4 linked regions of the Lonchura striata genome follow. The protein of the gene in region 1 purifies or fractionates together with the protein of each later gene. This does not show direct contact. Links are inferred from orthologs where the notes say so. Each region holds a gene or a part of one and is shown on either strand. Other genes may lie near its edges. The genes, in order: HNRNPA1, heterogeneous nuclear ribonucleoprotein M, MOV10 and RPS3.

The links.
Region 2: the proteins of HNRNPA1 (region 1) and heterogeneous nuclear ribonucleoprotein M purify together in Homo sapiens (affinity purification with mass spectrometry; 6 studies listed by BioGRID and IntAct, with this or other methods). This does not show direct contact. The link is inferred for Lonchura striata from reciprocal best matches to the Homo sapiens genes HNRNPA1 and HNRNPM.
Region 3: the proteins of HNRNPA1 (region 1) and MOV10 purify together in Homo sapiens (affinity purification with mass spectrometry; 3 studies listed by BioGRID and IntAct, counting the BioPlex papers as one, with this or other methods). This does not show direct contact. The link is inferred for Lonchura striata from reciprocal best matches to the Homo sapiens genes HNRNPA1 and MOV10.
Region 4: the proteins of HNRNPA1 (region 1) and RPS3 fractionate together in Homo sapiens (co-fractionation; 3 studies listed by BioGRID and IntAct, with this or other methods). This does not show direct contact. The link is inferred for Lonchura striata from reciprocal best matches to the Homo sapiens genes HNRNPA1 and RPS3.

Annotation. Positions count from the first base shown.
Region 1 is NC_134629.1:8,441,125-8,448,076, reverse strand, and holds the start of HNRNPA1 (heterogeneous nuclear ribonucleoprotein A1), read right to left. Parts: upstream 3,015-6,952; 5' UTR 2,930-3,014; coding exon 2,915-2,929; intron 1,102-2,914; coding exon 985-1,101; intron 1-984. Other genes in the region: CBX5 (chromobox protein homolog 5), read left to right, coding at 6,339-6,475, 6,928-6,952. UniProt on the Homo sapiens protein: Involved in the packaging of pre-mRNA into hnRNP particles, transport of poly(A) mRNA from the nucleus to the cytoplasm and modulation of splice site selection.
Region 2 is NC_134630.1:6,568,428-6,576,410, reverse strand, and holds the start of heterogeneous nuclear ribonucleoprotein M, read right to left. Parts: upstream 3,007-7,983; 5' UTR 2,754-3,006; intron 2,653-2,753; 5' UTR 2,637-2,652; coding exon 2,559-2,636; intron 1,728-2,558; coding exon 1,533-1,727; intron 1,216-1,532; coding exon 1,062-1,215; intron 142-1,061; coding exon 92-141; intron 1-91. Other genes in the region: heterogeneous nuclear ribonucleoprotein M-like, read right to left, coding at 3,506-3,570. UniProt on the Homo sapiens protein: Pre-mRNA binding protein in vivo, binds avidly to poly(G) and poly(U) RNA homopolymers in vitro. Involved in splicing.
Region 3 is NC_134632.1:5,823,044-5,830,206, reverse strand, and holds the start of MOV10 (helicase MOV-10), read right to left. Parts: upstream 3,007-7,163; 5' UTR 2,999-3,006; coding exon 2,826-2,998; intron 2,147-2,825; coding exon 2,053-2,146; intron 1,958-2,052; coding exon 1,824-1,957; intron 1,742-1,823; coding exon 1,503-1,741; intron 1,421-1,502; coding exon 1,180-1,420; intron 995-1,179; coding exon 872-994; intron 784-871; coding exon 630-783; intron 542-629; coding exon 387-541; intron 267-386; coding exon 90-266; intron 9-89; coding exon 1-8. Other genes in the region: CAPZA1 (F-actin-capping protein subunit alpha-1), read right to left, coding at 5,272-5,412, 6,005-6,067.
Region 4 is NC_134604.1:18,070,824-18,078,634, forward strand, and holds the start of RPS3 (small ribosomal subunit protein uS3), read right to left. Parts: upstream 3,009-7,811; 5' UTR 2,949-3,008; coding exon 2,919-2,948; intron 2,148-2,918; coding exon 2,017-2,147; intron 1,910-2,016; coding exon 1,816-1,909; intron 1,052-1,815; coding exon 957-1,051; intron 688-956; exon of another isoform or gene 541-687; intron 427-540; coding exon 239-426; intron 1-238. UniProt on the Homo sapiens protein: Component of the small ribosomal subunit. The ribosome is a large ribonucleoprotein complex responsible for the synthesis of proteins in the cell. Has endonuclease activity and plays a role in repair of damaged DNA.

The sequences.
Region 1 (6,952 bases):
TTTAAAGGTCCCAGGTCGGTTTTGGTGCCCCAGGGCTGGTTTTGGGGTCCCAGGGCTGATTTTAAAGGTCCCAGATCAGTTTTGGTGCCCCAGGGCTGGTTTTGGGGTCCCAGGGCTGATTTTAAAGGTCCCAGGTCAGTTTTGGTGCCCCAGGGTTGGTTTTGGTGCTCCAGGGCTGGTTTTGGGGTCCCAGGGCTGATTTCAGGGACCCCAGGGAGGGATTTGAGGATCCCAGGGCCATTTTTGTCATCCCAGCTCCATTTTTAGGGATCCCATGACGTTTTTAAGGGTCTCAGGGCCATTTTCAGGGATCCCAGGGCTGGTTTTAGGGATCACAGTGCCCTTTTAGTGACCCCAGCTCTACTCCAGGAGATCTCAGTCCCATTTCAGGGACCTCAGCTCCATTTTTGGGGACCCCAGCCCTGTTTTTCCTGCTCTCAGTGCCGTTTCCAGGGCCCCCAGCCCCATTTCAGGGCCCCCAGCCCCATTTCAGAGGCCCCCAGCCCCATTTTCCTGTTCTCAGTGCTGTTTCCAGGGCCCCCAGCACCATTTCAGAGGCCCCCAGCCCCATTTTTTTGCTCTCAGTGCCGTTTCCAGGGCCCCCAGCCCCATTTTCCAGCTCTCAGTGCTGTTTCCAGGGCCCCCAGCCCCATTTCAGGCCCCCAGCCCCATTTCAGACGGCCCCCAGCCCTGTTTTTCCTGCTCTCAGTGCCATTTCCAGGGCCCCCAGCCCCATTTTCCTGCTCTCAGTGCCGTTTCCAGGGCCCCCAGCCCCATTTTCCTGCTCTCAGTGCCGTTTCCAGGGCCCCCAGCCCCATTTCAGGCCCCCAGCCCCATTTCAGACGGCCCCCAGCCCCGTTTTTCCTGCTGTCAGTGCCGTTTCCAGGGCCCGCAGCCCCATTTCAGGGCCCCCAGCCCCGTTTTTCCTGCAGTCAGTGCCGTTTCCAGGGCCCCCAGCCCCATTTCAGGCCCCCTGCCCCTCACCACGCAGTCGGTGAGCGTGCCCCACTGCTCGAAGTGGCTGCGCAGGCTCTCGTCCGTGGTCTCGAAGCTCAGGCCCCCGATGAAAAGCTTCCGGAGCTGCTCCGGCTCCTTCGGGGACTGCGGGGGGACGGGCTCAGGGCACCCCGGAACCCCACGGAGGGGGTGGGAAGCCCAAATACCCCCTAAACACCCCCAAAATCCCCCCTAAAACACCCCCTAAACCTCCCCTAAAACACCCCTTAAAACACTCCCAAATCCCCCCTAAAACTCCCCCTAAAACACCCCCAAAACACCCCTTACAACACCCCAAAAATCCCCCCTAAAACACCCCCTAAACCTTCCCTAAAACACTCCTTAAAACACCCCTTAAAACACCCCAAAAATCCCCCCTAAAACACCCCCAAAACCCCCACACTCAGCTCACAGGGGCCTGACACCCCGAAACCCCCTCACACAGTTCCTGTTGGGGGATGAGGACCCCCAAAACCTCCTCACCCAGCTCTGGGGAGGCTGGGGAACCCCAAAACCCCCTCAAAACCCCCTCACCCAGCTCCCGGGGGGACTGACAACCCAAAATCCCTAATGGGACCCCTCCAGTGCTCCTCACACCCCAAAATCCCTCTTGGGACCCCCGTCCCATCCCAAAATCCCTCCTGAACTCCCCCTCACACCCCAAAATGTCCCCCCAAAGCTCCAGAGAGATCCTGACACCCCCAAATCGCCCCTGGGACCCCAAAAAAACCCAACTGGGACCCTCCCCTCCCAAGCAGCTCCTGACACCCCAAACCCACCCCCAACAAATCCCCCCCCAGCCCCCTGGGGACCCTCCCTGACCTCCCCCATCCCCAATTTTTGGGGCCACCTGAACCTTGAGCATCCCCAGTTCCCATCTGGGGGGGCCACCAGACCCCCAAACCCCCCCAACCCAAATTTCTCAATGTCCCAGGCCCCCAAATCTCTCCCCCAACCTCCATTTTTTGGGCCTACCATCACCCTCACCGCCGCCAGCCCCTATTTCTGACCCCCCACCCCCCCAAACCCCCCAGCTTTCATTTTAAACCCCCCCAAGCCCCCACATCCCCAATTCCAACACCCCCAACCCCAAAATCCCAACTCCAGGCCCCCAAATCTCTCCCTCAACCCCCATTTTTGGGGCCTACCAGCCCCCTCACCGCCCCCAGCCCCTTCAGGGCCCCCAGCCCTATTCCGACCCCCCACCCCCCCAGTTTTAATATTAAACCCCACAAAGGCCCCACACCCCAAATTCCAACACCCCCAACCCCAAATTTTGGGGCCTACCAGCACCCTCAGCCCCCTCAGCGCCCCCAGCCCCTATTCCTGACCCCCCTCCCCTAATTTTGCCCCCCCCAACCCTAAACTCCAACTCCCCCACCCCCCCAGCTTTAATTTCAAGCCCAAATTCCAACACCCCCCCATCCCCTTCTTTCCCCCCCCCGTTATTCCTGAGACCCCCCCCCCCCGTGACACAAAGCGCGCGCACGTGGCCGCGGGAGCGCGCGCGGGGTGAGGGGGGGTCGCGCATGCGCCTGAGGGGGGCGAAATCTGTGGGACCCCCCCCCGAAAATGGACCTTGGGGGGGGGGGGGGAGGGGCTCTGTGGGACCCCCCCCAAAAATGGAACCTGAGGGGGGAGGGGAGGGGAAGGGGGAGGGGAAGGGGGAGGGGAGGGGGGGCTCTGTGTGTGACCCCCCCCACACACAATGGCGCCTGCGCGGCTGAGGGGATGAGGGGGGGGCGCCGCGCGCAGGCGCAGTGAGGTCCCGCGGCCCGCCAGGCGGCGGCGGCGGCGGCGGGGGCGGGGGGGAGGGAACGGGGATGGGTTAAAAAAAAAAACAACAAAAAAAAAAAAAAAAAAAACAAACAACGGGGCGCGCGGATCGGCGGGGAGCGGGGCGGGCGCCGCTGCTGACCTCGGCCTTGGCCATGGCGGCGGCGCGGGGCGGTGGCGGCGGCGCGCGATGCTCCCTCTGCGAGGGCCGACACGGAAAGGGGCCGAGCGCCGCGAGCGCCGCCGCCTCACCCCGCCGCCCCCGCCGCCCGCGCGGCCCCCGCGCCGCCGCCCATTGGCTGCCGCCTCACAACGCCGCCGCCCCATTGGCCGCCTCGCCGCGCTCCGCCCCCCGCGCCGCCGCTGATTGGCTGCGCGCCGAAACGTCCCGCCCCTGCGCCGCGGGGATTGGGGAGAAGCGCTGCCGACACGCCCCGCGTGGCTTTTCCCGCTCCGGCCCGGAGACTCCCCGGCGCGCCGCTGGTTGGTTGGAAAGAAACAGGGCCCGCCCCTCGCCAGGCGCTCATTGGCTGGGAGAGCGGGGGGACGGTGCCCATTGGCGGGCGCGGCCGTCCATCAGCGCCGGCGGCGGCGGGCCCAGCGCAGCTCGGCGAGCGCGGCGCGGCGGGCGCAGAGCGGGGAGGCGGCGGCGACTCCCGGCGGCGGCGGCGAGCAGAGGCCGCCCGCCCGCCGGCCCCAAGGTGCGGCCGCGGCAGCGCATGCGCCCATCGCGGTGGGCTTTGGGGAGAGGGGGGGGAAAAGGCGGGCGGACGCATGCGCGGAGCGCCGCCGGCGGCGCCTGCGCGCTGCGGGCGGTTTTGGCGGGCGGAGCGCGGAGCGGCGGCGGCTCGGAGGGGCGGCCAGACCGCGGCGGACGGGCCCGCGCCGGAGCCGCTCTCCGCGCAGGTAGCGCCGGCGGCGGGCGGCGGATGGACGGGCGGCAGCGCGGGGGCGGGCCCGCCGCCGTGACGGGCAGGCGCGGCGGCCAATGGGTGCGGGCGGGAGGCGGGGCCTCGCGGGGAGTGGCGGGCGCGGTGTTGAATAGCAGCGAGCGGGAGGCGGGGCGGCGAGCCGAGTGACAGGCGCGCTGACCTATAGCGGCGCAGGGCAGGCGGGGCGGCGCTCGGAGTGACGGTTCCGCCGCCCAATAGTCGCGCGGCGGGGCCGCGGCGCGCGGTGGGGCGCGCTGCCAATCAGGGCGCGGCGCGCGGCGGCTCTGACCAATGGCGTGCGGCGGCGCGCTGCTGGCCCCGCCCCCAGGCCCGGCGGCCGGGCCCCTCAGCTCGGGGCGCTCCGAGCCCAAATCTGCGGCTTTTCACCCCAAAACCGCGGCCTGGGCCCTCGGGGCGTCGCGCCCCGCCCCGCAGCGGCGGCTTTCCCCTCACAGCCGCGGCCTCGGCCCCGGCCAGGCGCTCCCGGGCCTCCGCGTGCCGCCCTCCCTTTGTTCCCGCAGCATTCCCGGGCGCGGATTTTCCCAAAATTGGCCTTTTCCCACCCAAAGCGGCGCCTTCTCCCTCAGGAGCCCGCCCGGAACCCCGCCGGGAGCCCGGCAGGAAATTCCGGCCGGGAGCGAGGGATTCCCCTCGGGCTGTGTGTAAAGGGAGAAATCCGCTCAAATCCTGCCCTAAGGGGGGAGAAAAAACAGATTTGAGGGCTTTTAAAGCGTCTTTTTTTTTTTTTTTCTTTTTTTTAATCTTGATTTTTAAGGGGTTTAGCCCAAATTCCATTTCTCTGCTCCCAAATCCCCCTTCAGTTTTTGGGGATTTATTCCAAATTCCGTTTCGCTCTGCCTGAATTCTCTGGGTTTTGCGTTGTTTTTTTTTTTAGGAGATTTTAGCCCAAATCACGTTTCTTTGTGCCTAAATCCCCGCTGGGTTTTTAGGAATCAGCCCCTCCTGTGCCTCCCCCTTGGGGTCTCACTTTGAGGATCCTGAGGTGACCCCAGATCCCTCTTGGGGATCCCAAAATTACCCCAGATCCCTTTTGGGGATCCCAAAATTACCCCAGATCCCTTTTGGGCGTCCCTAAATTATCCCAAATCCCTCTTGGGGATCCCAAAATTACCCCAAATTTCTTTTGGGGTCCCAAAGGAACCCCAAATCACTCTTGGGGATCCCAAAATAATTTAAATCCCTCTTGGGGATTACCCCAAATCCCTTTTGTGGGACCCAAAATTATCCCAAATCCCTCTTGGGGATCCCGAAATGACCTCAGATCCCTCTTGGGGCTCCCAAAATGATCCCAAATCCCTTTTGTGGGATCCAAAATGATCCCAGATCCCTCTTAGGGATCCCAAAATTACCCCAAATCCCTTTTGGGGATCCCCAGGATGTCCCGAAATCCCTCCTGGGGATCCCCAGGTGTCCCCAAATCTGGTGACATTCCTATCCGTGCCCCCAGAGCAGTGGCAGGAGGGGCCCTGTGTGACATTCCCTGACCCATGGTGACAATCCCTGTGCCCTGGTGACATCCCTGTCCCTGTCCCCAGAGCGGTGGCTGCGCTATGGGCAGGAGGAGCAGGGCAGTGCCACGTCCCACGGTGACATTCCCTGACCCATGGTGACACTCTCTGACCCATGGTGACACTCCTGTCCCTGTCCCTGTCCCCAGAGCGGTGGCTGCGCCATGGGCAGGAGGAGCAGGGCAGTGCCACGTCCCATGGTGACATTCCCTGACCCATGGTGACACTGTCCCTGTCCCCAGAGCGGTGGCTGCGCCATGGGCAGGAGGAGCCGCCGGAGCAGTGCCACGTCCCATGGTGACACTCATGGTGACACTGTCCCTGTCCCCAGAGCGGTGGCTGCGCTATGGGCAGGAGGAGCAGGGCAGTGTCACGTCCCACGGTGACATTCCCTGAGCCACGGTGACACTCCTGTCACTGTCCCTGTCCCTGTCCCCAGAGCGGTGGCTGCGCCATGGGCAGGAGGAGCTGCCGGAGCAGTGCCACGTCCCATGGTGACATTCCCTGACCCATGGTGACACTCATGGTGACACTGTCCCTGTCCCCAGAGCGGTGGCTGCGCTATGGGCAGGAGGAGCAGGGCAGTGCCACGTCCCACGGTGACATTCCCTGACCCATGGTGACACTCCTGTCACTGTCCCTGTCCCTGTCCCCAGAGCGGTGGCTGCGCTATGGGCAGGAGGAGCTGCCGGAGCAGTGCCACGTCCCATGGTGACATTCCCTGAGCCATGGTGACACTCATGGTGACACTGTCCCCTGTCCCTGTCCCCAGAGCGGTGGCTGTGCCATGGGCAGGAGGAGCAGGGCAGTGCCACGTCCCATGGTGACATTCCCTGAGCCATGGTGACACTCCTGTCACTGTCCCTGTCCCTGTCCCCAGAGCGGTGGCTGTGCCATGGGCAGGAGGAGCAGGGCAGTGCCACGTCCCATGGTGACATTCCCTGAGCCATGGTGACACTCCTGTCACTGTCCCTGTCCCCAGAGCGGTGGCTGCGCCATGGGCAGGAGGAGCAGGGCAGTGCCACGTCCCACGGTGACATTCCCTGAGCCACGGTGACACTCCTGTCACTGTCCCTGTCCCTGTCCCCAGAGCGGTGGCTGCGCTATGGGCAGGAGGAGCCGCCGGGCCGCCGACAGCTCGTCCTCGGGGGAGGAGGAGGAGTATGTGGTGGAGAAGGTGCTGGACCGGCGCGTGGTGAGGGGCCAGGCCGAGTACCTGCTCAAGTGGAAGGGCTTCTCCGAGTGAGTGACGGGGACAGCAGGGACACAGCAGGGACAGGGGACACAACACCCTGGGTGTCCCCTGACCGTGTCCCCTCTGTGTCCCTGGGTGTCCCCGGGTATCCCCTGTCCCCTGACCATGTCCCCTTGGTGTCCCCTGTACCCTGGGTGTCGCTGGGTATCCCCTGGGTGTCCCCTGTCCCCTGACCGTGTCCCTGGGTGTCCCCTGACCATGTCCCCTGTCCCCTGCCATGTCCCCTGACAGTGTCCCCTGTCCCCTGCCATGTCCCCCGTGCCCTGACGGTGTCCCTGGGTATCCTTGGGTGTCCCCTGCCGTGTCCCCTGTCCCCAGACTGTGTCCCTGGGTGTCCCCTGACCCTGTCCCCTGTCCCCTGCTGTGTCCCCTGACGGTGTCCCTGGGTGTCCCCTGCCATGTCCCCTGACCATGTCCCCTGTCCCCTGGGTGTCCCCAGGGAGCACAACACGTGGGAGCCCGAG
Region 2 (7,983 bases), on another chromosome or scaffold:
GAGTTTTGATCCATCCTTGAAACCACAAATTCTCCCCAAATCAGCAGTGCATTCCCAGGTCAGTGGGAATGGGGAATGGGAGTGTCCTCACCATTTTGACGTGCATGGGTCTGTCAAAGAGCAGCTGCCCATTGAACATCGCTGGGGGTCGTTAAGGATCATTCTTCAAGCACTGAGTGCTCTCACAGGGAGCACAAAAACCCCTCAGAAAATCCATCTCCTCAGTTATTACTCACAGATTATCCCAAATCCTTCTGCCTTCTCCAAAACTAAAATGCCTTGAAATCTAAAAATACTGAACATTAAAAAAAAGGCTTTTTAAAATAAAAAAAAAAAGATAAAAAACATATTTCTGGGTAAGATTAAGTTCAGAAAGAGATACAAACCATAACTCTAAGTCAGCCCAAGTGTTTAAATGCTTCCTCAGTCATTTTATCCATTGAAGACAGGACAAAACAGAGAAAAGCTCCACAGCAACACCATATTCTGAAGTGTGCCATGACAGTGAATCTTCTGCCCAACTCTGCTCCCACAAGGTTTTGTGGATGCAGTGCAGAAGGGAATTAACAAATAGAAACTTTGGGAAAGGAAGAGGGTTTATTTTCCTCCTTTCCATACCATAACCAGGAGTTGAGAGAGTAATACCTGGAATTTTATTGCTGTTGGGTTTCTAGGTGGCAAATCATTGCTTGGCCAGTGGAAGGAAACAGGAACAGGAAAATACCAATTCCGTGTGCCTTGGCACAGGGACTTTTTCCTTTTCAGAGAATTGCATTTTAATATTAATTGCAACCTAGAGACAGAAACTCATCTCGGATTGAAGTACATTTATCCACGTAGGAAAGAGAATTTCCTTTGCTAAGGATCCTGAGCAAACTGCAACAATTCCTTCAAGATGGAATTTTGCCTCTGTTTTGCTTTTCCTTCCATTTTCCATCTGCTACAACTTGACCTCCCCTGCCCTGGATACAATATCCTCCTTTGGAATACAGTTCCCACTCTGCCCTGCTGCGTTTCCTGGGCTCTCTGCCCCATTATTCCCAGTTTGCTGCCAAGGATACAGATGGCCTGCACGGCCTCGATGGCCTGCTCGAAGGTGACAGTGCCGATGCCCCGGCTCTTGCCGTCCTTGTCCTCCAGAATGTCGGCCCGGACCACCACCCCAGCCATGCTGAACACCTCCTTCAGCTTCTTCCAGCCCACCTTGTAGTCCAGCTGGAAAACAGGGCATTGTTGGAAATGCATGAGATTTTCATGAGAAAACAGCTTTAGTTGGCTCCTGTCCTCCTCTGGTATTGGCATTAAAGTTGTCAGAGAGCCGAGATAAAATTCAACCAAAATACGAAGTTTTGTTCAAAAATCCCCATTAACAGGCACTGTGGTACAACTTAACTGAGAACCTCCTTTGCACAGAGAATCAACAGGACACAGAGGAGCTTTTCCCGAATTCCCAAGGCTTTTCCTTCCTGAGATTTGCCCCAGCTGAGAGGTTCCCACTGCTGGATTTGCAGCAGGGGGTGCCCAGCACTCACGTTGGCCACGAAGACGGTGCTGCCGAGGCGGCCGGCCTGCAGGGCGTGGATGATCTCGTTGGGGATATTGGGGTTGTTCAGGATGCTGGGGGGGATGTTGATCATGCCAGGGCCGCCAGGGCCGGGCCCGATGCCCATCCCTCCTGCTGCCATCACCTTCTGCATGGCCCTCCTGGCGTGCTCCCCGTCGGGGTCCTGGGGGACACACACACACCCTCAGATCAGATCCCACATCCACCCACATCCACCACATGCTCCCCGTCGGGGTCCTGGGGGACACACACACACCCTCAGATCAGATCCCACATCCACCACGGGCAGTGCCAGGGCTCCCACAGGCACAGACAGGAGTTTCCCTTTATCCCAGGGCATCTGCTCCCTAAGCACTCCCAGCCAACTGCTTCCCTTTCATTGTCAGTCAATTTATGTTATTTTAGCCAACACCCAGCACACTATCATTTAAATGATACCTTTATTATTGATACCCTTTAATAATAAGTTATTCCTCTCCAGGCATTTCCCTGGTTACCAAGTTGTTTATCCATCATTAATACCAACAACAAACCTCTGTTACACTGTTCCAAACCCTAATAAACCCCCAGTGCCACTGGAGAGGTCTTGGAATGAACTCCCAGGACTGTCTGTCAACAGCAAGGCCACTAAAATGGAAATACATCTTTGATGGATTCCAGGAAAGAGCTGATTCTATGGAATTGTTGGCGGAATCCATTCATTCTGATGCAGAATTCAAAGGGAAGTTTGTAAAGAACAAACAGAGGTTTCTGTGTCAAATCATTAACAAAGGAACTGCAATTAAAGCCAAACTCCTGCTTTGTCCTCACATCAAGTTTAGTCTTGATAATCACAAGTCCAGCAGTGGTTAAAACTATCAGAAAAAGGTTGACTGGGTTTTTTTATCCTATTTAAGTCCTGCTTTCTGCCCATTATCCTCTGAGTCAGCCCTAAACCTTAAACAGGAACTCCTGCTTCCCCCTCTATCCCTGCCAGAACAGATCCCCTCCTTACTTCTTTTACTTTCAGGGGTCTCCCACCAAGACTGTGCTTGTTCAGAACTTCAGCAGCCTTTTTCATGCTCTCCTCCATCTTGAACTCAACCACCCTGTGGGGACACAAACACAGCTCAGGACGTTTTGTTTGAAGAAGTCTCCTCAGATTCCTGATGAAATCAGATTGAACTTGAAAAATTCAGAGTGAACTTACGCGCATCCCTGGTGAGATGATTTCCCAGGGCAGTCACATGGAGGAGGGAAGAGGGGAAAAAAGAAAGTCAGTGATAGCTCAAATCACACACAGATATTTTATTATTAAAGCCAAATCACATCAGTTAAGCCCTAGCAGCAAAAATAAATGTAACCTTACACAGGCAAGCCTCCAATAGTGGAATTCCATAATTTCTTATGCCTTAACAGGATTAACCTGGGGTCTCTGAGGTTGTAACAAACACTAAATCCCGACTCTCCAAGAAATACCACACGCTTCCTGTGACCTGCTCTTCCCTGGCATACAGCAAAACCCTCCACACTCTCACCCTAAATCCATATCCTTCAGGACACTTAGGAGTGCTCCTATTGTCTTCCCTGATCCTGGACTCAAGGCCCATGAAGGCACTGAACATTTACATTTAGGAATTTATCTCGCTCTGCTGGCCCAGGACGTGGAGTTTGCAGCACCTGCTGTTGCACCCTGGCCCTTCCAAACTCAGCCAACCACTCGAGTGACTTTTCCAAAGCACAGGAATATTCCAGAGCCCTGTCCTGCCTGCTGGGCTCCAGGGTCACACGGCCAACGCCAACGGCACGCAGGGAACAGCTCCTGATTGCAGAGCCCACCCCACCTCCTCCCATCCCACAGCACTCCTGACCTAGAGCCACTGCACATCCACACTCTGAGCCTCCCTGGCCTTCTGTCCAGCACACAGAAACATTTCAGGTAGAAAATCCACAAAGAAACTCTCAAACACTTACCCTTGACTTTCCTTCAGCGTCCATTAAGAGCTCCACGTATGTTACCTCACCAACTACAAATCAGATTCCAGACGACACAGATACCAAGGGAGAAAAGCCAAGAAAACAATGGGAATTTAGAACAATCAACAACCGTGTATGGAGCCTCTGCCTTATAAGAAAGCCCAGAAACACTCCATGTTCTCTAGACCACAAAACTGGACAATTACAGGTATGCAGTAAAGGCTTCAAGCACTTCGATATGTTCTTGGTTTTCCTCCACCTCAAAGCCAGAGATTTCCACAGTTCCCTGGATCTCCAGTGCCCACTCGTTACCTGAGGCAATCCAAACCCATGGGAAAGGCTGCAGGAACAAGTTTCCTTCAGTTGCCACAGGATGCAGCCCTGGCTCCATAATCCACAATTTCAAGTAACTTTTTTTTCTCAGGATTTAAGACAAAAAAGGAATCACACTGAACCAACAGATCAAGAGATCACTGCCTGCTATTTATTTTAACATGTTTTTGTTAAGTTACAATAAATTCTATTTTAGCATTAAAATCTGCTACATTTGCTCTCAAGTCAAAATTGTCAACAGCAAAAGGCAAAAGACAATGGAAAACTCCACCTGCCCCTTTCCTCACAGGATTGGGACTGCCTCTCTAGGACCAAATAACCCTGGCAGGGACTTCCAGAAAACCACTACCCAAATGGCTGCTGCCTTTGAAGGGACTGGCATACAGAAGAATGGAATCAACACCTTTTTTTTTCCCTTTTTATTTTTCCTTTTTGGTTTTACAAGTCCTAGGGTTTAAATTTAAACTAGGAGGACACCAAGCTGCATTATCTGGACAGTGGAATGTTTTATTTGTGGGAAACCATGAGCCAGTTGAGTATGAATAGTTTAACTGGAGCAAGGAAGTGGGGCTTCATAATATTCTGCCAGGGACAGAGGGAGGTGTCCAGCCTGACCTCCCCCAGGCCCAGCAATTTACAGGACACTGGGTATCACTGTGGAAAACTGACACCCTGGAGCTCTCTTGAAGCTGGAAAAAAAAAAGGAATGCTTAACAAAACCACTGATTTGTAATCTCCATTTCTTATTTTAAACAATACTTTAGCAGTAAGAGTATTCCAGCCAGAGAACAGGATGAACAGCTCTGATCCACTCCTGCTTTTGGAAGGATAATGTTTGAGGCTGGAAAAGGCTGCCAAGTCCCTCTGAAAGGGACTCCACTGGAGTGTCCATTATCATCCACAGCTCCAGCAGCTCCATCCATGTTGGTATCAAGCCTAACAAGGAATTCCAGCCTGTAATCCCTTTGAGCTCCTGCAGCACACATGGGATTGTTCCCAAGGAGTCCCGGGGGGGATTCAGCGCTGCCATGAGGTTCTGACGCCATCCAGCTCAAACAGCAGCAGCCAGAGTCCAAGCACACCTGGGGCAGGGATGCAAACAGATTCACCAGTTCTTCCCAGGTGAGCTCCACTCCAAAACCTCTCCGAGCCAAAGCTTCCAGGTCTGGCATTCCCTGAAGCTGCAGAGCCCCCGGAGCGAGGGCTCTCCTCTCCCAGCCACTTCACCTACAGCTCCTCACAAACAGCTCCCAAAGGAGCTTGCCAAGCTTGAGGATATCCAGTACAATTGAGCATCTGCTCTTGTAACCAATCCCCGACTCTGAACCACAAGATCTCCAGGAATCTCTTGGGAAGTTGAGTCTGTGCCAATTTTGCTCAGAGCTTTCTGCTGGAGCCTTACAGACACATGAAAATCCAAATATCCAGCCTGAAGTAGCTGCTATGCTTTAAAGGAGATCTGAACTTCCTGAAGAGCCCGGTTTCAGAACAGCAGGAGAGGGGAATGACACACTCAGTGCAACAGCTCTGAGCCAAGACAGAGCCCAGAAACACTGCCATGAAAATGCATTCATTTCACCTTAAACTGTGTAAAAGGAGCCAACCCAACCCTTCTGCCAGGAGAACATCGTCTGTGACTGGCAAAGGAAATATTTTTTTAAGAAGCTAGGCTGGATCACATTTTATTTGGAGTTTTGGAGTTTTTTTCTAGATCCCAAACCACAGGATGCCATGGAAAAGTACCAGGAGCAGATATCCATGTGCTAGACCAGGATAAATGCCCAGTGATCCTGGCAAGATTCCCTTCTGCCAGAGAACAGCTGGATTCTGTCAGGGAACATCCCATGGCCACAAGTGGAGAAACTTCATCCAAGCACAAAAACTGTTACTTCAGGAGTTTCCTAAGGGAGGAAATGTCCAAAAAACACTGGCTCCTAGTCACTGCAGGTTTAATTAATCAACACATTCCCCATGGTGTCTTTAAGACTTAATGTAGAGGAAACTGATTTATGGATTTATTGAAACCTCACACCTAAAGTTTGAAAATGCAGCTTTTCCCAAACCAAGAGACTGGAGCAGAATTTACTGCAATAACCAGAAATCCAAACTGAAGGAAGCTTCAGTGTTATTTATAACAGTCATTATTTTTAATCCTCTTTAAAACTTTGTATCACTTCCCAAAGTTTATCAGTACAGAAAATGTCAATGTTCAAGCTGGGCTGCTCCAGCAGAATTCCAATACTCTGCAGGGTCTGAACAGGAAGCTCAGATCAGTATTCACAGGGTGACCTGAGGCCCTGAAGACACATCTGGGAACTCCCCAGAACAAGCTCAGACAGAAATAACAACTTTAGGTTGGGCAATTTGATTTTAACAGTTTGTGACAAACCAAAGAGCTCTGAGAGGTGTGAAAGATGCAGAGAGGGAAGGGGGAGCAAGCACAGAACTGGGACAAGGGAAATGCTCTGTAGCAGTTATTCCTTGGCCTCCAGGGCCAAAAGTAAATACTAAATATGGAAGGAAAACCCCAAAGTGGCTGGATGTCTCCTCATCTTCTGAAGAACAAGTGATCCAAGAAGATTAAAAAGCTTCACACTCGCAGTGTGAGGCAAAGCAGAGCTGGCCACAGTTCTTCCCTCATTTACAGGTAAAAGCTTGGGACAGGCAACCCCTGAAAAGTTAAGAGGGGAGAGAAGAGGAGCAAGTTTTACACATGCAAAGCTTTGGCTGAAAAGGCAGAAGGAAAACCTTCCCAAAGCAGAGACAGCAGTCAGCAGTTCTGTCACAGATGGGGAAAGGAAACTTCCCTTTTGCAAGAGAACACCCAAAGTGGTGATTTAGGCTCTTAAAGAGCTCAGGCAGCAGAGGGAGTGAAAAGCTCCCTGCAGCCAGGGAAGGGCTGAGATTCCTTGGAAAGATGGTGAATGCCCAAGGGAAACAGAGCAACTCATCAGAGACTTCAGCAAACGGAAGGGGGAACAGGCCAAGGGCAGGACAGCACATTCCTTCCCCATCCCTCCCTCCCTGACTCCCCAGAACTCCACACTGTGACCAAATCCTGGGGACTCTGCAGTGAGCTAACACCTTGTGTCTGCCAGCAAAACGAGGGAGTTCCAAACAAGAACATCTCTTCATTCCATTACCAACATTCCCACTGCATACCTGTAATTGAGTTTCTCCAACCAATCCACTGGGATGCCCGAGCCACGGCGTGAGGAGAGAGAGAGAGGTGGCACCTGGAGCAGCCTGGCCGCTCCCAGGCTGCAGAACAGCAGCAGCTGCTGCACACACGGCACCTCCCCGAGCTCCTGCTGCTGCTACAGCCCCTTCTGCACGGGGCCCAGCCCTGCAGAGCCCTCACACACCCAGGGTTTCCCCTTGGGCAAGAATTCCACCTGCTCCCAGAGCCTGGGACGTTTGGCCTGGCGTTCTTACGCTTCCGAAGCAAGCATTCCAACGGGTCGGAGTTTTCCTGGGGCTTGGAACTGCTCTGCCTCGAGGCAAGGACTGAGCAAGGCCGAGCACAGCACGAGAGCAGCAGTTTGGGAGAAGTCCAGAACAACTCCACGGCAAGTCCAAACTGTTGGGTTCATCAGCAGTGCCAAACCCCAGGAATGATCCCAGTTTGAGCAGGACAAGCCCTGCAGCCAGAAGGAAAAGGCTCCAACGTTCCCCTAGGAGCATCTGCTGGAATGAGCAGCTGAACAGCCCGGCAGGAAACAATCTCAGCCTGGCCTCTGCCATCCACGGGAACTGGAGAGAAACCACCAGACACTGGGAACGGGATTCAACACAGCACAGAGCTGGACATCTCCTCACCCGGAACACCAACGGATCTGGGGCAGCCACGGGGCAGTGAGGGCTCCGTCCATCATCAGGGCCTGCTCAAGCAGCCCTTGAGGCTGACACTGTTGCCATGGCACAAAACCACTGCTGGCTCTCAAACAGCCCCTAATTTGGGAAGCTCCCAGTCTGTTCCACAGATTCATTCCCTTTTGCCTCCAAAGACAAACAATTGAAACCCTCTGGAACTTTGTTTTCCCCTTCTTTAGGCCACACCTCAAACGCCTGAACTGCCAGTCCTTGCCCAGCTCCAGCACAATGACCACTGCCCACTATCCTGGCTGATG
Region 3 (7,163 bases), on another chromosome or scaffold:
TAAACCACCTGTGGGAGCAGAGGCTGCACTGCCGGGGCCCCACCGCCTCCACCTCCAGGCCCTCCCTCCCTGCAGAACTGGGCACTCACCGGGGCTGGAAGGGGCCCGAGAAGAGGGACTTGTGGCAGGAGGTGGAGGGGAAGAGGAGGCTGAACAAGCCACGGCGCACGGCCAGGACTGCAGCCCGGTGCTGCACCTGCAGTGGCAGCCGGTTGAAGGTGAAGGTCACATCGAACTTCAGGTTTTTCACAAACTTCTTCTGCAGCCTGGGAAGGAATGGTGTGAGCATGGCACGGGGCACTCTCTCATGCCCTCCTAGCCCTTTCCAACCCACTCCTGGCCTTTGGCATCTGTGAGAAAGGCTGCTGGGACCAGACATCACTCACTTGGAGGAGAAACCCAGCCTGACCTTCTCCAGTTCCACGCTGTGCACGTAGCCCTTATACCGGACGAGTGGGGAGTGGTCCCGCTTGCTGCTCAGGTGGGCAAAGAGGTGGTCCCCTCTCAGCAGGGACGGGCGGTTCTCGGCCACGCCAGGCACCTGTGCCAAAGGACCAGTGTGATGCCAGGCACTCTGGGAGTGCCAGTGTTGTGCCAGCACCCCTCCTATCCCTCAGCCCCCTACGCACATCGAGAACCAGCAGAGCTCTCTCCTGCACCATGGTCACATCCCGCATGTCGTAGCGTCGGATGTCCACCTCCATCTGAATCTCCTCCAGGTACAGCAGCAGCTGGAATTTCTGCTGGTAGTTCTCAGCCTGCAGAGGTGCTTCCAGCAGCGAGCTGAGGGCAGCAGCAATGTCATTGTGTCTCAGGGGCAGCTTGGCACTCAAGGAACACCTCAGCATTGCTCTCTGCCCTTGGCACTCACCACAAGGCAGCCCAGCTGGAGCTGGCACTGGTGTTGGGTCCGAGCAGGATCATGTCCTTGAGGCTCTTTGGGTACCTGTAGGTACCCAGAGGGATTTCCGTCTCCAGTTCATTTTTCAGGGAGCTGTGTGGAGGGTACAGTTGTGCTTCAGGGACTACATAGTGCCCCCAGCCCCAGTGTCACTGTCACTGCACAGGGTTGAAGCACGATCCTGTGGTGCCAGACAGTCAAGGAGCGAACCTTGTCCTGGCTGAAGAACAGCCTGGGCCCCTCTGCTCGGGATGGCAGCATGTGACTTCATCACATACCTGTCAGGGGGGATGCCATCCTCAGTGATGACTGTGACAAAGCTTTGGAGGCTGGCCTCGTAAGGCTGGAAAGGTGCCGAGGGCCCCAGGTCCTTGGCCAGCTGGCTCTCAGCAATGGCAGCAACATAGCGTGAGATGCTGAAGGACTCGCCTGGTTCCTTGGTGAACTCGAAGACCACCAGAGCACTGAAGTGCCCGTTGCAGGTGGTGAGGCACCGCACCTGGATGGGGTACATCCCACCTGCGGGGTGAAGTGGTGAGATTGGGTCCTGCATCCTCTCTGCAGGGCAGGGCACGGGGAAGGGGATGGGAAGGGGCCCTACCTGGGTGTAACAGCAGGGACTGGCCCTGCACTGCCCCCTGCTCATCGGTGAAGGACAGCTCCCGTGACTGCTTGTGTAGCTGGAACCGCTGCAGGGTCACCACCTCGCTTCCACAGTTCTGCACCAGGATGGTGACTGTCCGGGGCTCACCCGGCACCACTGGGAAGCGGATATTCCCGTTGCCCTGGTCACAGTCTGAGGTGATCTCCACCCCGTGCTTCTCACGAATGCGCTTGGCCCTGTGGGGAGGGAGGGTCAGGCTTTCCCAGCTGGGCTGGGGGATCCAAGGGACATGCCACGGTGGGGTGGTGCTGGTCATACCACTGCTTGCCATGGCTCTCGGGCATTTGTGGAGTGGAGCTGAGCTGCTGTCCTGAGGCAGACGTGGACACGGATGTCTGTGCATTCCTTCTGGTTCGTCGGTACTGGTCTGCCACCACCAGGCGCCTTTTCACCTGCAAGGAGCAGCCAGACCCAGCGTGGCCCCAGGATTCTGCAGGGGGCTCCTGAGGAGCCAGTCCTGGTGGGCACTGCCCCAGCATGAACTCACCTTGAATTTCACCACCTCTCCATGCACCTGAATCTGCTGGGTTGTCTTCAGTGCGTACAAGATGCAGGAAAATCTGGGTGTCTTTGCATCAGTCCTGTGGAGACAAGGGACAGGGTTTCTGTGGGAGTGTGGCTTGGCTGCCATGGGCACAGAAACCCAAGGTGAGGCAAGTGAGAAGATGAAGTAGGACACCGAGGCTGCAGTGAGGGAGTTCTCAGCAAGTCCCCTCTGCTCCAGGAGAGGAAGAAGGACTTGGGCTTCCCACTGGCCTGTGCAAACCTCACATCCCTGCTGGCTGCTCCAGCAAGTCCGAGCTGTGCCATTGTTGTCTCAGCTATGCCACAGCCATCCCAGCTGTCCCACTGCCTGGCCTGACAGCCATGCAGTCTCTGTCCATGCAGTTGAGCTGGCACAGGTGGTGGCTCTGCTAAGGCACAGCCACTGTTCTCCCAGCACTGACTCCCCAGGTTCCTCCTCCCAGTCCTACCAGTGCACTGAGCCCTGGCTTTGCCAATGATCGTGCAATGTCACAGTGGTGACAGTGCATAAGGGCCAGTGTGATTGGTGCCAGCAAGGTGAGGTCGGGGTGGGCAGGGGGTGTCCAAGGCCATCCCTAGGCAGTTGCTGGGGGCCCACGGAGCTGGGGATCATCCCAGCAGGGTTTGGTGAGACAGACGAGCTTGGAGACCCCGGTGATGCTGGCCAGGCACTGGGGATGCTGGCCTGGGATCTGTCCCAGGTGATGTCGCCCGGATCTGGCCGAGGGCTCTCACCTGGCCCGGAACTCCTGGTTGTAGATGGTCCGCAGCGTTTCCCGCAGGCTCCTCTGCTCCCGGCCCGTGTCCTGCAGGAACTGCACGAACTGATTCCCCCAAAGGCTGCCCTCCGCCACGCTGCACCGCGGCATGGTTGAGCCGCGCCGCGCCGCGCCGCGCCGGTACCGCATCCAGCAGTGCCCGGTTGACCCGGACTGGACCGGTCTGGGCTGGGCTGGGCTGGGTCGCACAGGGAGAACGAAAGCAAAAGAAGCCGGGACCCGCCCACCTGGCCCGGGCGCACCGGGGGCCGGCAGCGGGGCTCAGAGGGCTGGAGGGGGAGAGGGGAACCAGTCGGTCTGAAGGATGATTACCTGAAGATTTGGAGAAGGACAAAGAGATAGAAACGCTCCTAAGGCTGGAACGCTGGCGGTGGAGTGCTTCCAGTGTAACCAAGGAGCAGACAGACTAGCCTTGAGGCAGATAAAAGCTGTGCTGTGTGCAGAGTCTTATCTTGGGCCCTGCTTCGGCTTCACATTCTTGGAATTACTACAGCGATTTCCTGGATGCGTCCAGGGCCGCAGCCCACAGCACCTGAGGCTCACACAACCTTTCATCTCTCCTGGGTGCTGCCTCTTGAACTGTCCATGGGTCTGCCCTGTGCAAACCCTCCAAAAAGCCCTGCTTTGTCCCATGTAGGATACAACCTGGAGTGTATGAAGTAGGTGTTAAAGAAAGACACCGAGGGTAAGTGGAATAACCTCCTTGCTGCCTTTTTTCCAGGGTGAGGAGCTGCATTAAAGCTCTGTGATAGTTTCTATTTTAGTTTGGAAGCTCAGCCCTCCAGGTCCTGTGTCTGTATACTAGGACGGGAGCACCACCCATGGGTTTGGAGTGATACCATCCCTGCCTTAATAACGGAACTGTTAAGGTTGGAAAAAAACTTTGAAATCATTGAAAACCAACCATCAACCCAGCACCACCGTGTTCACCACTAAACCAGGTCCTCAAGTGCCACATTCACATTTTTGAACACTTCCAGGGATGGCGATGCCAACACTTCCCAGACTTCAGGAATTAACAAGAGTGAGACCATGAAAGAACAGACACAAATGGCTTTAAACAAAGACTGGTGTATTTGCACTAGACTTATTGATACAGAGCATGCCTGAGGGGTGAATTGTCAGTCTGAGCAGCAAATACAAATATATTTTAATTAGATAAAACTCACAAAGGATAAAAACTTATTTTGTGGTGTTACTGTGCAAAACCTAAAGTGTAACTCACAGACAACTCCGTCCCAATCTTCCCAACCGTTTTTCCTTTGTGTATTTAAAAACAAGAAAACATGAGCCACTTTAAAAAACAGAATCTGTAAGGCGCCCAGTGATAACCAAGTGCAAACAAAGCAAAGGGAGTTCACTTTGTAGTGAATCTATGTTCCAAGATCTGAGAAAGGCGTATGCCTATCTCTTCGTCCTCCCCTCCAGAGAAACTGTTATGACTGCTAATTTTGATGTTAGAGGGGGAAAACAGTAATGCAGAGCAAGCACACAGAACAGATTCATTCCGAAATCCCCTCTAAGCATGACAAGAAACTGTCCACAACTGAGACAAATGGAAAAGATTTTTAATTTCACTTTGGTGCAAGTTTATTTATTTTGTACACTATCCATCCATACACCTGTGATACAAATCTATGAACCTGCCACAAAGCATTAAAGCACAACATACCTATTATTTTGTAGACATTTGCATTTTTAGTCACCATCCAGCCCTTGTGAATCAGCAGTGACTTATCTTGCAGTTCTGTAAAAATGCAGATGTCTGGTAACCGTACATACACGAGGGAGGGGAGAAGAAAGATGTTCACTTTTAGAGAACATGGCTCAAATCTTCAGATTAAAAAAAAGTTACGTCCCTGGAAGAGCTGGGTCAGTAGGGAATTCTGTAAAGGATCCTGTAAACTCATTTTCTACAGCAAAATCTAAGCCTGCAGGCATCTGCTTTGTGGAGGCTGGGAATAAGAACACACGAGAACTCACTGTCTTGCACTTACTTTGTCTTGCAGCGCCATGAGCTCTTGGCAGGTTTAACAGACTTACTGGATACCTGGAGTGCTGGATACCGGTGAAGGAAACGCTCTGCACCCTCTCGTGGGGTAATAATAGGGCTTTTCCAGCTAGGAAGTTTTCCAGCCAGTGACTGAAAACAGCTATATTTCTGAGCCATGAATGGCTGAATTTAAATGACCTATTAAATGCAGCTACAACAGGAAGTTTATGTGGCAGGAAACACAAAACACAAAGACAACTATTTGTTCCACGGTTCCCTTTCAGGCTAGAAAACCTGTTAACTTTGAAAGCCCTAAAAAATCTTCTCTGGTTTAAAAACCATCTACTTGGCATAGGACCATATTTGTTTTTTTGCACATGAATTTTTCATACACCTCCTTCTTTCTGCATTAAGCATTCTGCATTTCTTTGCCAATCTTGTAGCTGAGGATTTTGTTCCAGTCAATCTTGGTGCGGGTGACGGGCAGCTGCCGGCGTAAGGCTTTGAAGGTGGTGTCTGACATAGTCTGGTAATTTTCACTGATTGCTGTCTGCAAGGGCAAGCAGATTTGGTTAGGGCACACATGAAACACTATGAGAAAGCTCAACTTGGTGTGTTAAAGCCACAAACTCCCTTCTGTAAGGTGTAATGCACACGATTAACTAAATTAATAATGCAGTCATTAGTGTGTATACAAGTCAAAGGCTTTCTATTCACCTCTCCTGTATTGTAGCAGCACCTCCTTAGGTCTTTCACTGACTTACCTCTTTCCAGTCTCCTTGCACAGAGGCTGGGACAATGTAAAAGCTGTTGCACAAGTTTCCTCCTCAGAATTTTTAACTGTCACAGAGGAAACTAGATTGACACACCCACTCCCCTCCCATGCATGTTCCAGGTATCATTTGTAACCCTTTAAAAAAACCATACAGCAAACCTGATAGCAAATTACAACACAGCTTTATAACTTTACAGCTTTATAACTCTATTTTTTTAAACAAATACTGCTGTCCTTTTCTAAGTAATTCTTACAGGCAATACCAGATTCAGCCAGGAACAGAATTAGAGGTCAGTTTTCCATTTTTCCATTAACTGCAAATGGAGACTGATACGATTCTGTTCTATTTAACTACCACTGATCTTACCTGATACTCGTTCTCTGCATTTTCTATGATCTTAATAAAATCCTTAGCAGTTTGGACATCACTCTGCAAAGGAAAAAAAAAAGTTGCATGTTTAAGAGCAATTTACATAAGCTACACAACAGATTTCTTCTCAAATGATAGGGTAAGTATAGATAAAGTAGGTAATATCAGCAGCTTGTGCCTTGAGGCTGTCTGGGTTCCCTTCACTTACTACATACTGGCCAGAGCTTGTATTCCAAACTGGAACAGAGCTGCACCCTAGTGAGCAAAAAGGAACTGGACCTTCATGTAAAATGAGTCACTTTGCAGCTGCTGCGTCCCCTACCATACTGGCAGATCTCTCTTACTTGTGAGGATGCTGGACTCCAGGACGGTTTGGGTGGACGGAGACGAGAGATCTCTGAAGGCTGCTCTTAGAATATCTGGTTTATTAGAAAGGGTGAGAGGCCCTGCTTGGAGTCACCAGATGTGACCTGTGGCAGACCCTAGGGAGTGGGGGAAGGGAGAGGCAAGGGGTAGGGGGAGATAAGAGAGGATCCCAAGAGGGAGAGGATGTTCCAGGAGAGGGGCAATTCCAAGAGAACAGAAGTTCCAAGAGAGTGTCTGGCTCCTCAGGGACTCCTTGTCAGGGGGTTCAAGGTGGGCTGGAACAAGACTTCGGCCAATGGGGTCACAGACTCCTGATGCTTCAGGGGAGGGTTACAGGTGTGGGATGAGCCACACATTGGGGTGAGATCCAACAGTTCATCTGACCCTTGGACCTACCTCTAGGTAAGGGCATTGTTCAAGCAGAAGGGGGGATTGCCTTCATCCTGGCTGTACTATTGTTTTCTAGTTGTTTGGTAACTAAGGTTTGGTATCTCAAAACTTGTTACCATCTCAATCTCTGTATTTTCTAAATCTTTTGCCAGGCAGTCATATTTATAAGGCTTTCCTATTTCATTTTCCCCAACACTTACTGTTTCTTTCCCTTGTGCAAAATAGAAAAGCATATTCTGTCCTTTTTAACCCTAGCTTCCAAGAGAAGCTTTCCAATAGAGACTTTCTAATATGACTGAATTTTAAGCAATTGTGAATCTGGAATTCCTACCTGACTCTATAAACACAATATTGACTGTTCACTCTAAAATTACTTTAAAATCAAGAGAATGCAGTCATA
Region 4 (7,811 bases), on another chromosome or scaffold:
CCACAGCGAGAGTTCAGTTGCAAAAGCCCAGGAAAACAGGGTTTTCAGAGCCTGAACCATCCACAGCAGCACAACTAAACTACTCTGTGAGATCGGAAGTGCATTAAAACCGTGCTGCCAGTGGGAAATCTCCAACCTGCAGAACAGGATGCCAGGAGCTGATATTTTTTTTTGTTTCTGCAGCTCTAGAGAAGGAACCTGACAAAGCTGCAAAGGGATCTGCACGCCAGGCACTCACCCTGCCGGAGTAGGACGTGACGCACGGCTGTGTCCACGTAGTAATTCACTGGGTCCCCACTGTGGATCATCAAGCCATCCACAAACTTCATGGATTTGGCCCGCTGACCTCGGAGTTTGCCGGACACAACGACCTCACAGCCCTTGGCCCCGCTCTCCATGATGAAGCGGAGGACACCGTAGCAGGCTCTGCAGGGAGGACAGCCAAGCCATGAGCCCGCTCTGCCAGACCCACAGGGCTTCCAGAGGAATTCTATCACAATTCCAACCTCAGTTTCATGTGTTAGCAGTGCAGCTCCCATCCCTTCTCAGACAAATGCCTCTAGATCATTCACTGATGACAGGAGGCTGCTACTGGAGGACCTCACGAAGCACCACAGAACGTGACACCACGGAGGCACTGCCACCAGAGCCACCCGCTTCTGACTCGTCATCGTCTCATCACCGAGGGGATGTGAGAGCAGGGCCACTGCCACCTGAGCCACAGCACAGCCACAAGGCCTGAAATGCTGTTTGCTTCACTCCTCCACCCACTTATACCCAAAGCAACACATGTAGTTTTATGCCCCACAAACTGCAACCAGACAGACCAGTCCAGAGGTAACTGTGGACTGAACAGAAGTTTCAGTGCAGGTTAAATCCTCAAACTGCAGAGAAGCTGTTTCTTGGGCATGGTGCTGGAGTCCCACACCTCCCCCATGGCAGGCTGCTGTACTTACCTGCGCACAGCCAGCCCTCCCAGGAGCTTGTAGCGCAGGGACTCGGCCTGGGCGATAGCACACAGACCTCTTGTGGCCACCTTCTCAGCGTAGAGCTGCAGAGCAGAGAGGCACATTCACAACAGGGCTCTTTTCCAAGTCCATCACACAACCACAGCATGCTGTGGCTTGGAAGGCTCATCCAGTTCCATCCCTGCCATGGGCAGGGACACTTTCCACTTGACCAGGTTGTTCCAAGCTGGCCTTGAATAATTCCAGGGATAGCCACAGCCTCACTGGGCACCCTGTGGCACTTCCTCACCAGCCTCACCGTAAATGTAACTTTTACTTCAGCAGAACACAGGAGTTTCATTTTACTCTCCTCCCTACATTCAGTCTAGTTAATCCTTCCACATTTACAGGCAGCAGCTTTATCCTACACTCCCTTCCTTGTCTAACGTGATCCAGCAGCACTGACCAAGCTGGAATAAATGAACACCACCCCAGCACACACATTCCCCCTCCCTCCCTGATTTGTCTCAGAGCAAGGAACAAGTAACAGGAGCAGATTTCACAGAACAGAACTACAGAATCCTTTGGGTTGTGTGGACCCTTTAAAGGACCCTAGTCCAACCCTCCCCTGGGAAAACCCCCCTAACATTAAGGATCAAAAAAAACTGCTGTGCCACTTTACCTTCTGTTTCTCAAAGATCCTTCTGCAGCAGAGCAGTTTCTTTGTAATTTATTTTGTATTTCAGTGCAGGAGCATTTCTGAGGCCAAGTAACAGAAGGCCCAACTTATCCTGAAACCACCTTTCAGTTGACACCATGCTGCCACCACAAATCCATCTGCACCACCCAGTTCCTGAGGCAGTTTTACCTCCACGCTTCCCTCGGGGAATCCAAACCTCTTCTGCACCACAGCTGTCAGCTCCCGGATCCGGCGTCCCTTCTCTCCCAGGACATTCTGAGTTCTGCGGGAAAATAAGCACAGGACAAATGAGAAAAGTGTCCCCAGGAGTGAGACTGGAGCCACCCCAAAGAGCTTTCAGAGCATCCCAGCTCAGGAAGGCTGAGTTACCTGGTAGCAAGGATGATAATCTCAGTCCTGGTTGGAGTGACCCGGACCTCCACTCCGGAGTATCCATCCTCAGCCAGCTCCCGAGTCAGGAACTCGTTCAGCTCCGCTTTGAAGATGCCATCAGCGACAAACTAAAATACAAATCCACAAAGACAAGGTCTTGTCACATTCTGAACCTGAGTGCAATTCACCCTAATTCCTCCTGCAGCCTGACAGTCTCTCCTGACAACTTTCTTCTCCTCTGAAAAAAATCACAGAATACTCTCAGTTGGAAGGGACCCACAAGGAACACCTAGTCCAACTTTTACATGGACAGCCCAGGGACTGAACCCACAACCTTGACTTGACCAGCACCGTGCACTGCCCAACCCTGGGTACAGTAGCGGGGAAAAATGGAAACCCCTTCCCTGAATTTGTCAGGAATAATCCACTCCAGACACTGCCTGAACCACAGCCACTGCTCACGCTGGGATCACGGCTTTCTGCTGCAATTCGGGAGCAATTTAAGGGAAATAATTAGCGGGGTCGCATCCCTTTCCCTGCTGCTGGGACTCCTGACAGCCCCAAACCTCCCTCGCTCCCCAGGACAGGCAGCGCCCGGTGCCCTCCCGGCCCACAGAGCGGGGCAGCCACCAGCCGCAAACCCTTCGCAGGGGAAAGCAAAAGGAAACCCCACAATTCCCGGCCCCCAGCGCCGCTCCGCACCTCCACGCGCGGCCGCGGGGAAGCGCCCGCTCCATCCCGCCGCCATGTTCCCCGCTGGGCCCCGCGCCGCATCCGCCGCCATCCTCCCCCGTCCGCCGCCGCCGCCCGCCGTGGCCCCGTCCTGCCGGCCGCTGAGGCCGCCGCGGGCGGTGCGGCAGCGCCCCGCGGCCGCGGAGGAGCCGTGCGGCCGCGCTCACCTTGCGCTTCTTGGAGATCTGCACCGCCATGATGAGCCGCGGCCCGGCGGAAAGGAAGGAGCGGGTCCCGCAGGCGGTGCTATATCCGCCTTCCGCCGCGCCCCATTGGCTCGCCGCTGGCACGGCGGGGAGAGCGGGGCCCGATGGGAGATGTAGTCTTTGCCACGCCGCCATGTTGGGGAGGCCTGAGCCATGCGTACGGCCTAGAGCTGAGTTCAACGGGCACGGAGAGTCAGCAGTGCGTAAAATAAAACAGGTGTACGGTAATTCATCCTGGGCTTATACCTGGAGACCTGCCCTGCCCAGGCGTTGCTGTCAGAGGGTGCTCTGCTGTTATCCAGGAATCACAGCATGGCTTGGTTGGGAAGTGACTTTAAAGCTAATCCCGATCCACCCCTGCCATAGGCAGAGACACTTTGCATTGCTCCAAGCCCCGGTGTCCAGCTTGGCCTTGGACACTTCCAGGGATCCAGGGACAGCTACAGCTGCACTGGCCACCCTGTGCCAGGGCCTGCCCACCCTCCCAGGGAACAATTCCTTCCCAAAATCTCATCTAGCCCAGCCCTCTGGCAGTCGGGAGCCATTCCCCTTGCCCTGCCACAACACATTGTTTTTTAATGGTTTAGGGATTGTAGGGGACTGCAGAAATAACAACAATAATGGGCAGAGTTGATGCACGGCCTCTAGGAACCGGGGGATGTTAATATGTTTTGCAGATGGACATGATGATCTTAAGGGCCTTTTCCAGCCTCAGTGATGCTGTGAAAATGCCCAGAGCGCAGCAGGAACACCAGCAGGAGCAGCAGGGCAGAGGATCCCACTCTGCTCTCGGCCAGGGAAAAGCCTGGATTACCGCTAGATGTCAGTGCAGGCGGATTCCAGGCTGAGAAAAGCCTCTTCCCCAGGGATTCATTTATCCAGCACCGGAGGCATGGCAGAGCATCCCACGCTGCGCTCGGCGAAGGCAGGTGGCGGTGGCGGCGAGCGATTGTGTCCCCTCTGTCACCAGACACCTTTGTGTCGCTTCTGGTGTGCCCACCCATCCTGCCCTTCCCTGAACCAGCTCCCCCTGCTCCCCCTGCGCCCGAGGTCCTTTGTCCCACAGAACATCAGACTCTGGAGAAATGTACAGCAGCTGGGGGTGTCTCTGTGCAGGGGTTTGAGCCTTATGAACTGGGGTCTCAAGTAATTTTCTAGGGAAGACCTTGCCAAGCTGCACAAACCCCACTCTGCTGTTTTCCAACACGGGACCACCATATTTTCAGAGCAGAAAATATCTGCCCAAGATCATCTATTTTTTTAGGCTGAGTTTACACAGGAGGGGCTCACACAATATATTTCTGGTCATATAAAGACAGCAAAAGGCACAACAAAAGCAAAAAACGCGACCCTGTCATGTGTCCCCTTTTCCATGGCCTATTAAGGACAAACCCTGTGTTGTGTCAGCATTTCAGGGGCAGCACCCAGGGCTGAAGCCAGGCACAAAGCAGGGCCTGGGTGGTGCTTGGCACCAAGGAAATGTCCCCTGTCCCCCTAGATGTGACCTGGGGGCTCCAAACTGTGGCCTTCACAGCCAGGGACATTTCAGTACCTTCCCCAAATACTGGTATGGGATTCCTCCCTCAGCATCAGCCATCTCTGGCTGCAGCCCCAGCCAGCTCCCAGGTGCTGGGAATGGATTCTGGGCTAGCTGGGGATGTCCCTGCTCACTGCAGGAGGGCTGGATTAGATGACCTTTAAAGGTCCCTTCCAACCTGAGCCATTCCCTGATTCTGTGAATTCACTCTTGTTCCATCCCTGCTGAAATGGAGGCTGGCAACAGCCCAAAAAAGCTGTGACATGCCCACAGAGAGCTCAGGCGTGGTCCAGCAGGTCCCAGTGTCTTCCCAGGCCCAGCAGTGGCTTGGATTTGCAGCAGGCCTGGGATTATCCATAAATGCCATGGTGAGTGACAGACCCAGCTTTCTGGGTCCCCACCCTCGAGGACTGCACCCCTGCTTTTCCCCATTCCCCACTTCCTTGTGGAGTCTCATCATTGGCACAGGAGCTCCTTTTGTCCCCAAAGGACATCCAGGGAATGGAAAAAACTTTTGGGTTTCTCCAGCCATGACCCTTCCTGGCTCTGGGCACATCCCAGCTGGCACTAAACCCTGGGCTGCAGCCCCTGCTCCAGCAGCAGCACTCGGATCTTCCCTTGGACTGTGCAGCAGCAGAACCAGGGCTGCACAGGAAGGATGTCACTCCAGATGTGGCACCTGGCAGCAGCAGGAGCCCCCTGTGCCTATGGAAGGGCCTGGCAGGTGCTGCCAGGTTTCCTCGCTGTGGGGGACGTGGCTTGGAGCAGGTTTGGGAATCGGGAGCTGTCCTGCCTCCCCCCAGCTCCATTCACTGGCCAGGCAGTGACATGGTTGATGGCAGCTGAGGGCCATTGCAGGGCTCAGTGAATGCAGCATCCCAGCCCCTGCTCCCCGGGAAACTGGCTCCTGTTCAGAGCAGGCAGGAGGGGCTGGCAGGCTTAGCAGGGAAACGGCCAGGCCAGCTTTCCCAGCCTTACGGCACGCTGTATTTTGGGATACCCTCTGCTTTCTGCGGGCAGTGACAAAAGGTGGCACTGGGAGAGAGTGTCCTGCCTGGGAAAGTCCCCGACTGCCATTGCTGCTCCCAAAATAAGGGAGATCCTGCCGGGGACTGTGCTGACTCTGCAGGAGGATCAGGGAACAGCCTTGGGCTCATCAAAAACACAAACTAGTACGGGCAGAAGGACAGGGTCTACCATTCCTGCTGTGGTCCCTCCAGCTCAGACACCTGCAGGATTTGGGGTGACACACTGGCTTCCTGCTCATGCCAGGCCCTATCGCCTCTCTGGATATGCCTGAGGATTTCGGGAATTTCCCTTGCAGGAGCCTGTTCCTTATGATTTCCTGTTGCTCCAGGGTGATTTGGACAGCTGGGCCCCAACCTACACCTCTGCATTTCAGTGCAGGAACCAGCAGCCTAGGACAGAAATCCTTCCAAACCACCTTCCCTACGACCATCAGAGGCACTGCAGAGCTCATGAATTTTCCCAGGGAATAGCAGTGGAAAATGAAACCTGGGCTAGAGATGGACAAGATGAGATAGTTTGCAATAAATGAATGGAGATGGGTCCTGGGAGGTAATTCCAGCAGAGATAAGATGAATTGCAAGCACCACTTGTAAAGCATTTGTAAAGTCTAACTCAGACAGGAATTTTACTGCAGGAGACGCTGTATTAGAATTTACTGCTGCAGTTGGAGCAGCTGCTACTGCCCAAGCTGTATAAACCCCTCACTGAGTTCCTCACCACTTCCTGGCACCTCTGGAAATCTTCCTGAGAAATGTCTTCTGCCTTCCCACATGGAGCAGCTCTCCAGAGTGGGGAGAGATGGAGGGAACAGGGCTGGGAGGACAGGGAGTCAGGACCACATTCATAGGCCTTTTGTAAACATTTCACACCTAGCAGGGTTTACTGTTTTTAGCTTGGCAAGAACACGGGGAATAAGTCCAGCAAACCTTCTGGAGGCAGGGGAAGATGGCAGGATCCTGCAGGACAGGGATGGAAGAAGGCACCATGTTTCCAGGCAGAGACAGTTCTCAGCTGCCCCAATCCCATCTCCTTCCCTGCAGCTGGAAGAGTGGGATTGAAACTTGGGCAGCACCAGCTCAGCTCCAAACTAAGGATGAATAACTGCTCTGGAAAGGTGTGTGTGACCCTCCATGAGAATTTACACCTCTGAGAATACATCAAAGCTTGAGAACCAACCGCCAGTTGGGCAAAACAGAAGCTGTGCTCTGTACATGGTCTGGATTTAACTCAGAAATTGCAGCACTCAGGTGTGGGAGCCCCAGGCTTACTCTGGAGTCCCATGTGGTGGTGAAATTTCTCCTCCAACCCGTGCTTCCAAAGGAAAACTCCACAGCCTCCTGTTGTTCGGTCTCAAGGCAGTTTCTTGTGGGTTATCTAAAAGATTGTCTTCTCAGGCTGCGGCTGTTTGGTCAGCAGCCCAGGCAGAGGCACACACACACCCTGACATCCTCTCTGTCTGCTGTCTTCTTCTTCTCTCCCCTTGCCCAGGGCTGCTGCTATCTTTTATATGATATATTACGTATTACATGTTTATACTTTTCCCCCAATACCTACTACCTATATTACAAAGTGCTTTTCTACTCTGAACAAATCTGTGAGTGCCAAGAACATCACCAAGAACATGGAGGCAAGGAAGAAGAAGGCAGAAGAACAGGATCAGCCCACTTTTCTCCATCTTAGAACTTCTGACCTCCATGTACAAAGTAAAACCCCCCCTGTACAAGTGTTAAAACCCCCTCTGTACAATAGTAAAAAAAATTTCCCTCTGTTTTGTAACTACTTTTACTCTGCTATCTAACCTTTTGTGACTGCTTGTTCCACCTCCAAAGTTGGTAACTCATTCCATGGCTCAAACTCAAAATCACAGCTGTTTCCAGCTGCCTGCCAGGGTCTAAAATGCTTCTGACCAAGGCCTGGAACCTCTAAAAATGTCTGAGAGACATTTGGAGTTCCAACAGTCAGGAAGGTCTGATCCAGCAGCCAACTAGACTGTAATCCCAGCCTGTCACCTCCAACACATCTGATAAATTGTTGGCAGTGTTTCAGTGGCTGTTCCCAAACAGCTCCATCACTCAGACACCTTCCTTTGGGCATCTGCCCCACTAAACAGGATTTTGCTTTGCTGCCCAGATTCACTTTAAGGACTTCAAGCAGATTATTAAACAATTTAGATACCTTTTAAAAACAGGAGATGGTGTAAGGATGCTCAGTGTGCTGTTTAGCTGGGAATCCTTGGCTCATAAGTATTTAATGAACCGAGAGGCTGCTGGCAGAGATCATTCCAGCAG